3 linked regions of the Drosophila melanogaster genome follow. Changing the gene in region 2 together with the main gene of any one other region gives a genetic interaction. Each region holds a gene or a part of one and is shown on either strand. Other genes may lie near its edges. The genes, in order: wit, Abi and WASp.

Region 1 (3,754 bases), on a different chromosome or scaffold from region 2:
GCCCAAGTTTTCCACTTTGAGTGCTTTTAAAATGTCCCAGAGTTTTGTGCCAGTGCCAGAGAACAGCGATTTTCCGCTGGAAAATCTACCCTACGCTGTCTTCTCAACCGAAAACAATGTGAGTGATATCATACTGAAATCAAATCTTATATTTTTATGAGATTTTAGAACAATGGTCTCGCTGTTGTAAATGATAACTAAAGTGGTAAATGGCAAAGCAAATGTTCCTTTAACTCAGCCTGTTTTCCGTGTAATATTTTCAAGTTTTTCTTCAGTTTCATGTGACTTTGGATCGTTCCACATGTTCTAGAAATCAACTTTAGAACAGAAACCGCTTTGGGGCATAGCATTTGCATACATCATCCAAGACAAACTAGTTTGTTTACGAAAACAATATGCTAATCCAATCTTTAATACCCCAGCAACCAGGTTCTGATAAGGCCCCATATCATATATCGTATTTGTATATCGTAAATGGTGTTTTTCATCTTACCATCCGTAGAAAGTTCACCGTATTTGTGTGGCCATTGGAGAGCATGTCCTGGACCTGAAAGCTGTCTCGCAGTTGTTTCCTTTCCAAGTTCAGAAAAGCCTGCAGGCCGAAACTTTGAATGAGCTTATGGGATTGGACTTTGAAGCTTGGGATGTGGTAAGAAGCCAGACTCAAAAGCTATTGACGAAGGGTTCAGAATTGGACCACAATGTGGACTTGAAGGCGGTGTAAGTCGGATTTATTATAATAATTTATTATTCATAGTTAATAATTTATTTATTTATCAGTTCCATTGTGCCACAGTCTGAGATCAAGCTGCACCTGCCTGCACAGATTGGTGACTATACAGACTTTTACTCATCCATCCACCATGCCACCAATGTCGGCATTATGTTCCGTGGACCAGACAATGCTCTGATGCCCAACTGGCGCCATCTGCCGGTGGGCTATCATGGTCGTGCAAGTTCTGTGGTGGTTTCCGGTACTCCCATCCGTCGTCCTCTTGGTCAAACGTTTCCCGATGGAGCAGAGAAGCCCGTCTTTGGCGCCTGCAAGCTTCTGGATTTCGAACTAGAAATGGCTTTCTTTATCGGTGGTAAGGGAAATCAGCTGGGTGAACCCATACGCGTGGATGAGGCCTGGAAGAACGTGTTCGGTTTCACGCTGATGAACGACTGGAGTGCCAGGGATATTCAGAAGTGGGAATATGTGCCACTGGGCCCCTTCACCGCAAAGAATCTGGGAACCACCATCTCCCCTTGGGTAGTGCCCACAGCTGCCCTGAAGCCCTTCGTCTTGGACAACTTTCCTCAGGAACCGGAGGTGCTTCCCTATCTGCGCCAGAACATTCCCTTTAACTTTGATATCAACCTCGAGGTGTCTTTGAAACGTAAGTTGCCGCCTGTTAAAGATTTGTTACGTTAATTCACAAAATTTCCCCTTCTCAGCCGCCGATCAAAACGAAGCGCTTATTTCAAAGTCGAACTTCAAACACCTTTATTGGACTCCACTGCAGCAAATCGCTCATCACACAGTCACCGGTTGTAATCTGCGTCCTGGTGATCTGATGGCCTCCGGAACGATCTCCGGTGAGACTCCAGACTCGTACGGATCACTTTTAGAGCTCTGCTGGAAGGGCACCAAAACATTGGAGCTTCCGGGTGGTAAGACCAGAAAATTCCTCCAGGACTTTGACGAGGTCATCATCCGTGGCCACTGCGAAAAGAACGGACTGCGAATCGGATTCGGGGAGTGTGTGGGTCAGGTGCTGCCTGCCCACCCCGTTCCGCAGTAGGACCACTTATTAACATAAGTAAATGAAATAAATTCTATTCAGTCTTCCTGGATACGTCAATACATTATGATGTTCGGAAAACTTCAACTTTTCGTTCAAAAGCATACTTTTTGGGATAAATGGCCATCCATAGTAGCGTATACGTAATATTTTTTCTCGGTGCACAGTAATAAGCTCAACAAGTGCTCAACTCTTTCGCTCTCTCGCTACGATGCCTTGCTCTCTTTCGTTTACACAACTCTCGCTCCAATCGGAGCCTCTGCCATTCCACGCAGCTTCGTAAATACGCGCACGCCGCTTCTTCTTTGGCTGCAGAGAAGAGCGGAGAGCGCCAATGGGAGCATAGCTGAGCGGAGCAGCAAACCGCATTCATTCCTCGAAAGTCGGCGGGCGAAGGTGGGCGCGCTGCGAAAAGTCAAACGGCAAAACGGCAGAAAGGCAAAACGGCCCGCCTATCGGGCAAACTTGTTTAAAGTGCCATAAAAAAGCCTCTAAAAAGCGTAGAAATAAAAAAAGCTGCCGTGCAGCGCAAAGCAGACGCGACTGGCGCCGGTGCCCCAATAATAAATTTTCCGACGAGTGTGCAACTTCTTTCGGTTATTTAAAACAAAAGAAATAAATAAGTAATACAACTTAAAGTGCAAGTGCAGTGGTTGAATAGCGCCCTGAATTAAGTGTAAGTGCTGCTCGCAAATTGAAATTAAAATTAGTGCAGAATAGTGCAAATGTTTTCCGCAAACAACGCTGAATGTCTTGGAAAAATCAATTTTTTACTCCACTCTGCGCAAGTACACACACACAAATACGCTGACTAGCGAAGGGCAGACGGCGGGTTGGGGTGGGCCACCCACCCTGGCAGAAAACACTCTGTCTGCTCACAGTACACATGCACTGTTAGAAATGTTAATATCTTTTGCACATTATCACATAGTATGCATATGGATGTTCTTTAAAGATATGTATGTAGAACAATTGCGTTCGAGTAGTAGGATCAAGGGGCCATTGAAATTATTCGTATTTTGGATACATTATAAAATAATATACAACCCATTTGTTTACTGTGTGGAATGAAGTCAACAAGAGACCTCCGAATCCATACCCATTCAAATTCCCTTCGCCATTGTTGTTCTTGCTGTCCTCCGCCGACTGCATGCACTTTTGTGTTTTTGCATTGATTTTCCACATCGTTTTTTACACCGACTGTCGCAGTTTGGCCAAATGCATCTGCAGCACGAAGATGTATCCCCCGAATGGCGCGGATGTGTCTGAGGATGGGGACATGGACAAATGCACACGCAGCACGCAAAAAGTTAATCAGGCCCCAAAGAACAACAAAACGGTGGGGCCCAAAACACACTAACAGCGAAGGAGAATGTGAGCCTAAAGACAGTTTTATACCCTGTGATAAAACGAACTATAAACTAACATAGGTTCCTGTGTTACAATGTGATTTTTCTTAATTCATAAGTATTAGGAAAATTTATTGGTGCAAGATTTTAATGCAAGATAGTTTTAGAGCGTGTTGGGTACACCCTGACAAGTGTAGGGTATCGAGCAGTATTTGCAATTAACTGGCGCCGTCGGCTATCGTGCGAGAGCAGCCGGCGGGTTCCGCCTCCTCGCCCGCGGGTCCTCCTTCGGCCCACTCCACGGAGCACTTGGGACAGCGCCAGTTGAACCTGTTTTGGCGCGCCAGAGACACCGCTCTCTAGCTTCTTGAGTTCTCTTCATGTGCGCATTTGCTGAAAGTGGAGAAAGGAGAGGAAACCAGAAGCGAAATGGGAGAAAAGAAAGGCCAGAAATAGCGTCCCTTCGAAATTATAATTGCTCTATAAATTGAACATTATTATAATCATGATACAAGAAATATTGTACGAAAATGGAAAAGGAACAGAAAATATTCTATTCGGAGCTTTTCTTCAACTGGGCTTTATCGCGTTGACGCATCTTCCAAAGTTTTTTCTGGC
Region 2 (3,754 bases):
CCGAAGTCTTGATGCTCATCCTCCGGCGGCGGCGGAGGTGGCAAGGGAGGCGACTGTGAGCCGGGACGAGCGAAGTTCAAGCTGAAGTGATTCCTTTGGAAAAATACGCGTTTAATATACAAGATAACATATGAATTTCATGGAGTTATACACAGTACAAACACGAAAACCTAGTATAACTTTTTTTAGCTGAGTATAACCCTATGATAAACAGAGAAACATGCAATTTACCTATTTGGATTCCTGGATTTGCACAGAGAACAATAAATAGGTTATATTTACACAAAGAAGGGATTGCATTTTCCAGAAACTTACCTGTTGATATTGCGTCCCAAAGTGTGCATGCCAATGTGACTCTGCTCGGTCATCTCGTGCTGCGAAACCGTAAGTGGTGAAGGAGGAGCTGCTACGAATTGCAAACCGCATTATTAGTATTGAGCTATTGCAGAATAATCAAATTAACTCACGTGGCATGCTGCTGCGATCGTCGTACGTAGTGGGCGGCGGTGGTGGCAGCGATTGCATCATGCCCGCGGAGGGCAGGTTTACATGTGTGGCTATCTGCTGGCTGGGTGGCATCGGAAGTGCACTGTAGCCAGCAGCTCGTTCATTGCCCGCCGCTCCGCCGCCTGTGGTGGTGGTAGTCATCGTTGAAGAAGCCGTCGACATTCGCTTTGGATGCCCAATAGGATAGTTGGGAGCGTAGTGCGATGGCACCTGTGGTGGATTGACCACAGGCGGAGTGCGGTACTCCCGCGAACTCTTGCCCAGTGTCCCGGTATTGCTGACCGACTTGCCCAGTGTGCCAGTGTTCCCAGCTCGCGACATCTGCGGCGGAGTTGGGGGCTTCGTGGTTGGCGGAGGTCCCACCGACGGCGGCAATAAGGATTGCACGGACCCATGGCTGGAGCCCCGATGTTTCTGTCGCACCTGCGAGTGCTGGGCCGAGTTAATGCCGTGGCCAATCTCGTCCAACATCGAGTAGTCGATGGGCTTGCGCACATACTTGATGGGCTTCTCCGGATTGATGGGCGCCACGATCTTAAACTGGCGCGAGCTCACCTTGTTAGCCGTAAGCACGCCAATCTCTCTGAGAAAAGACAATGAAGATAATCAAAAATAATTAATACAAATAAAGTGAATTGAAAAAACTAAATAGTTATGTAGGAAAAGAATGAAGAAAGAGACGTTCAGTCTTATCAGCACGTCTGACGACGCATGTATGAATGTACATTTCTTCTCTATGAAGCTTTTATCACCGATGAGTCGTACTTACAGACAAAAATGTTCATTCCGTATTCTTTGTCGTTTTAAAATATGCATATCCCCTTTTCCTATTCTAGTTTAAGCAATTTGTTGTTCTTACCTCCTGGCCACCTTCTCCTTGTGGATATGCACCGTCTGGGCGATGTGGTTCATCTGGGACTCCATCTCGCCGAGCTGCTGGGCCTGAAGCTCGAGGAGCTGCATGTAGCTATAGGCGAGCGTGTTAATCTGGTAGGCCACGCTGGCCAGCGACTGGGTGGTGTAGTTCTTGGTGGCCTCCAGGGCCGCCTTCTTGTTGTCCGCGCGGTAGTAGGTGTCCTCGCAGTAGTCGGCCACCCGCTCCAGGTTCGTGTAGCTGTCCCGCAGACTCTGGCGGCCATCGGGGATCTCGGTGCGTATCAGAGAGGCTAGTTCGTCCATGATGTTCTCGCTGGCCATGGGGGTTTCGGTCAACATGGGTGTGGATGCTGCGGGCAAACGGGAAACGAAAACCCAATTAAATTCCTCGCTTTTCCGCACTTTTCACGCCCGTAAACATTTGGGGCGTGGGCTGGCCTCTGCCGACGTCGACGCCCAGCTGCTCCAGTTGATCGCTGGAGCGGTTTAATCGGACGAATCTCGCGTGCACTCACTTTATTGACTATGCGATTGCACAACAGATGCTTTTCCGGGCTAGTTGCTACGTTTTAAATGCAGTTAAATGCAGTTTTTCATTACATTTTCCGTGAAAAAAGAAAGAACGCTGGCCTGTGCTGCAAAGTACTGGAGCTTGAAGAATTTTTCAACACTGTATCAGTGCAGACACATTTGGTATTATTTTTGAAATGTATGTTCTATAAAACAGAGTGTTAAAAATTTTCCCAAAATTTAGTTATAAAAATAGCATTACAGTATCTTTTTAATTAATAATTCTTTTTTTTTTACACATTTAAAGCCGCTTTGAAGTGATTGCCAATCAGAATCGGTACATATTTCCCGGTTTAGTATTTCCCTACTCGCGCTTTGCGGTCACACTGGTTGTGAGTAATATATTTTTTCGGCAATATTAATTTTAGCTGTTGTCCAAATGTCTCACCAAACGGGTATCCGAGGTTTGTTATCTTTGGGAACCACCTAATCCGCATCCTTAGAACACCCTTTGTATTTTCAGCCAACGAGCAGCTGGCCAAGGTGTTCGGCAAAGCGAAGAATGGTAAATTTCGCGTGATAAAAGTTTCGATCGAGAATGGTGAGTGGATTTAATCCAGAAACGTATATACACAAGATATATACTAGGCATACGATTTGATAACGAACCCGCATCCGTTTTCACCCCGCCCCAAATTACAGAGCAGCTTAGTTGCGGCGCCACGGCGGAGACGAAAAAGGATTGGGAGCGCGACTACGACAAGCTTATAGGTCCCCTACTGGAAAAGGATGTGCCCTGCTATATTCTCTATCGCCTGGACGCCAAGATCCCGCTGGGCTACAGTTGGCTACTTATCAGCTGGACGCCGGACACGGCCAGCATCCGACAGAAGATGGTATACGCTTCCACGAAGGCCACGTTGAAAACGGAGTTCGGATCAGCATACATCACAGAGGAGCTGCATGCCACCACTCTGGATGAGTGCACGCTGGAGGGCTATCGCCGGCACAAGCAGGATTTCGCAGCCCCAGCTCCATTGACCAGCAGGGAGGAGGAGCTGAAAGAGCTGCGAAAGACAGAGGTTCACACTGAGATCAATACGAATACGCGGCACCAAACTCTGGGTGGGATCAATTGCCCGCTGAGCGAGGCAACCGTGGCTGCCGTTCAGGATTTGGTGCGCGGCAAGCACGACTACCTTCAGTTCCGCATCGATCTGGAGGAGGAACAGATCCATGTTTCGCGTGCGGCCAAAGTGGAGCTCGCCGATCTGCCGAAGCAAGTGCCCGAGGATCATGCACGATACCACCTCTTCCTGTTTCGGCACACGCACGAGGGCGACTACTTTGAGTCGTACGTGTTCGTCTACTCCATGCCTGGATATTCCTGCTCCGTGCGCGAGCGCATGATGTACTCAAGCTGTAAGGCTCCTTTTCTCGACGAGCTCGCGGCCCTTGGCGTGGAGGTTGTTAAGAAGGTGAGTTGATATGAATGCGAGTGGGTGTGGCTGCGCTAATAGCACTAAAGATTAGGGCTATAAAAAGCAAAAGCAGGGTATATATTGTTTGTGATTTATTTATTGCTTTCAAATCGCCACATTCACTATACTTTTGATTCACGATCTCTAGAAATATTTTGAATCATAATTAGGGCGAATGTCTCACTTTTCACTTGAAATAGAAATCTGTAAATCATAAATAATGAGTAATTTTAAATCATACTAAATCTGATTCATGTTTCTAACAACGTTTTACATTTCAGCTTGAAATCGACAGCGGCAGCGAGCTGACCGAAGCCTTCTTGCAGGACGAGCTGCACCCAAAGAAGATTCTACACCGACCGGCTTTTGCCAAGCCCAAG
Region 3 (3,754 bases), about 15 Mb from region 2:
CTGACTCAAGTAGACTTTCCAGCAAAAGAGTATGTCTTTCAATCAAAACCAAAGCTAATAATGTGTACGATACTCCCATGCAAGTTTTATAGCTGACCAACTAACTATAGTGCATAGAACTCTAATTTTGTTCACAGTTTAGCTTCCGGTGCCATCTTTAAATGGGCAAAGAAACCATTCAACTATGTTGGGCAGTGTGCAAGTGAAATTTGGTAAATATGACAGGCAGCTGCCCGTAGACCGTAGAATGATATTATGATATAGGGTTACTGTGCTTCGAGTGAAATTCGCACACGATGGGCGACACTTGAGCCGCAGGAAGTGCTTCATCAAGCCGTGGGATTTGCTCGGCGAAGGCGGAGGAACACAAACCATGTCATTGCTTAATTATTAATCACCCGATTGGGGGCATTATGCATCATCAGTACTCGACTCACCTGGCACTTCTTGCCCAGCAGCTTGAAGACGGCCTCATTCTCCTCCTGGGTGAGCAGCGTACTGGCGGCATTGACCTTCGCCCGTGGACCGTCCTGCGACCTCATTCCGCTGCTCATCTGGCCGGTTTCGTTGGATCTGGGTCTGGTGCTGGATATGGGGATCTGGGCTGGTTTCCCTGCACAATACGGACACAATACGCATTTTATTGTGTGGCGAAAACAATACGCAAATGAACAAAAGCTAAATGTATTAATTTAATATCACAAAACGCTGGGGACCCCGAAAAAGTAAAAAGTTCATAACAATAAAGGCACACGGAGTAACAGTTGAACTTCGATAGAGTGAACAAAAGTTTGGGATCGTAGGGTTGACGATACAATATGAAAAGTTTGAGCTCCCATAAATATACTAAAGAGTTCAGAAACTGTATAATATTTAACGTTTAAATGAATTATTGCAGTCAACGCCTTCGAATATAAAAAGATAACTACACTTGGATAGGCTGCCTATTTTTTTGTACAGTGTACAGCTTGTAAAAACTCCGATCTACAGAGAGTTTGAGCAACGGAGTCCGAAGTGTGTTGCGAATAACCCGATTTGGGATCGAAGAATTATGGTTTTGGGACTGCTGAATCGATTGACAGTATTGTCTTTACGGTTTTGAATGGTTTTCAGCCCGAATTACGGCCAAGAGCGCGAGCGAGAGAGACCGAGACCTGCGCTGGCTATGACGATGTAGCTGGTTATGGTGTCGGCGGGGCTGCGAGCGGATCGCCTGGTCTGAGTCACGGTGCCCGAGAGTCGGAAATCAGAAGCAGAAACAGAAACAGTCAGCCAGCAAGCCAGCCAGCTGCGTTTGAATGTGGGCAAAAGCCAGGCCAGTGGCAAACTCTTCGAAAAGAGCCCTTATCTTTGGCGAAAAGCACTGATTAGGTGTGCGCATGTATCTATGTGTGATACATGCACAGTGGTCTGGGTTACTCAACATTCGGCACTCGCCACAAGCCACCAGCCAATCCACCCCACTGTGCGCCACTCCGTAGCTCCAAGATTTGTGACAACACCTGTCCGTCGTCGCGCCAGGTGGGGTGAAAATGCAAATGTAAATAGACAGACGCTGCTGCGGATTGGGAGTAAGTTCATGGGTTGGGTTGGTTCGGCTTGGATGGGATGGGATGATGTGCTGCCCTACTCAAGGTCTCGAATTTCCCTTGTGAGCTGCTCTGCTGGGGGGGTCGCCCATTGATTTTTTGCGTTTATTTTCGTGCACTGCTCTTCACTCTTTCGTTTTTTTCCCACACACAACACAACACACCACAAAATCTGTGTAGTCTCTGGCCTTGCGGATTCCGGGACTCTTATCGGGAGGCTCTACTGTGCGCGCGTCCGCGTCATCGAGTGCATGGCGTTGAAAACGAGTGTTCCTCGGTTGATTATTCGTCTGTTCCCGGACGCAATGCTAGTTTGTTTATTCATTTATTTTTTTTCACTCCAATTCAATTGCTGCCAGTGTGACCGACCGAAAAAGGCGATAGGCTAAAAATACTATCCTTTCGATAATTTCCTAAAATATGCATCAAGCTCTGCCAAGGCCCTGTGCAGACCATGCTCGAGACTTTTCAATTTTGCCCATCACTAGTTCCGCTTAAAAGTTTATCAAAAAGTTTCAGGCAATTCCGTTAAGAAATCGCGAGTGGAGAGCTGTGGGAATAGTATATTTTTTCATTTATGTTATCTTTTCCGTTAAATTTGATTTTGTTTACCACGCCCGTAAATTCGAATAAATATTTGTTCATCTGGCTTTCAAAATATGTTTTATTTTGATATAAATTATAATCGAGTAAATTCACATTGGTTTAATTTTTTGCTGACAAAAAGCATATTTCGATTTATTCATATTGAAAATGGTTAATCGCATTGAATCGGTAAAAACTAAGTCGCAAATGATGAGCTTAATGCATAAGCTGTTTCCTAAAACAGTTACCCTTAACTTGCTAAATTATATAAAAGAATACTTAAAAAGCAGTGACTAAAAAATGTGAATTTCTTCTCTCTTCAGATATTTGGTGTTTGCATAAGGAAGCCAGGGGCATATTTTAAACTTAGAGTATATTCTCAATAAAGATGTGCAACTATATGATTGTAATTGATTTCAGTAGCTCACCAGTTGGAGGACAGCTCATCTAACTAAGTGTTAAAAAAGTTAAATCAGAACAGACATTCGACTTGGTAAACCTTTCCTAGTTAATGCGACAATCGAATATATAGCATTTATATATATGCCAGTATACATTTTGTATATATTGGGTAGTTGTACACATGTTGAAAGGCCTGATTTTGTGTATATATATGCAATACATTTGGCTACACACGATCGGGAGCATCGGGAGCTTCCTTCTCTGACTGTGATTTGGATAAGTTGAAGTTACTAGGAGTTTGCGCTAACTCTATGCTAAACTGGTTGCTTACAAAGTTTTAGGGTCTACGTATAATGTATAAAGTAAAAGGAGAGTAAAATATGGATTACATAGCGTATGTATATTAACTCCTATCCTAAAAACTCTTTGATTTTGACTCTGACTCTAGCTCGGCTTGTGGATGTGGACCTGTGCGTGTTCGGTTCCTAAAAAATGCTTGACAAATACAGTCCTGTTCCTCTTACAATCTCCACTTCCGTTTTCGCTTTAACTTGGCTAATTTGTGATCCATACTATCCTGAACAAATTAACCCTCTATTTCCGCGCGCCCACCACTGGCAGCTTGGACTTGACTCCTCCAGCGGTGCTGGGGGTATTGTCAAACGTGGAGCTGCGCAGGAGCGTCGGCTTGGTTCCATTTGCGTTGAGCATGTTGGAAGATTTGGTTTTCTGCGTCCTCAGGTTGGATGACGATTGCTTGGTTTTGGCCTCGTCCACTCTCTTCCAGATGTTGGCGATACGACTTTGCGCATGGTTGATCTTGGCCGCAGCTGCTGCGGCTGCACTGCTTCCATTTAGGTTGGAGTTGCTGCGGGATGGTGGAGTAGTGGACGACACGCGGCCGGAGACCACACGTGAGGCAGCGTGAGATTTGCCCGCAGCTAGTCGCAGACTGGTGTTTGCCCTTTGAGGCGTCATTCGGCGGGCCGGCGCCAAGGGAATCCTCTTGGGAGAGCCCGCTTTCGATGGTGACCCACCGCTGGCCGTGCCTTTCTTTGTGGGTAACTTCGAGGCGCGGTGAGTGGGACTGGTTTGAGCCGGTTTTGTCTCCACCACGGGCACTTGAACATTGGAGTTAGTGGGCTCGTCCTTGACAAAGGTTCCCTGGCGTTCCAAGC

What was found.
Region 1: of Abi (region 2) and wit, changing one suppresses a phenotype caused by changing the other (phenotypic suppression), as found in Drosophila melanogaster (one study listed by BioGRID).
Region 3: of Abi (region 2) and WASp, changing one suppresses a phenotype caused by changing the other (phenotypic suppression), as found in Drosophila melanogaster (one study listed by BioGRID).

The regions. Positions count from the first base shown.
Region 1 is NT_037436.4:4,070,118-4,073,871, reverse strand, and holds the start of wit (wishful thinking), read left to right. Parts: upstream 1-2,154; 5' UTR 2,155-2,463; intron 2,464-3,590; exon of another isoform or gene 3,591-3,689; coding exon of another isoform or gene 3,690-3,754. Other genes in the region: Faa (fumarylacetoacetase), read left to right, coding at 32-118, 503-720, 781-1,382, 1,441-1,787; CG32259 (uncharacterized protein), read right to left, coding at 3,690-3,754.
Region 2 is NT_033777.3:14,120,380-14,124,133, forward strand, and holds the start of Abi (abelson interacting protein), read right to left. Parts: upstream 2,042-3,754; 5' UTR 1,899-2,041; intron 1,871-1,898; exon of another isoform or gene 1,734-1,870; 5' UTR 1,723-1,733; coding exon 1,367-1,722; intron 1,091-1,366; coding exon 468-1,090; intron 407-467; coding exon 316-406; intron 244-315; coding exon 232-243; intron 94-231; coding exon 1-93. Other genes in the region: twf (twinfilin), read left to right, coding at 2,333-2,357, 2,417-2,494, 2,596-3,371, 3,656-3,754.
Region 3 is NT_033777.3:28,830,065-28,833,818, forward strand, and holds the start of WASp (WASp), read right to left. Parts: upstream 1,961-3,754; 5' UTR 1,754-1,960; intron 1,250-1,753; exon of another isoform or gene 1,155-1,249; intron 1,077-1,154; exon of another isoform or gene 930-1,076; intron 614-929; 5' UTR 555-613; coding exon 438-554; intron 1-437. Other genes in the region: Apc (APC-like), read right to left, coding at 3,171-3,754.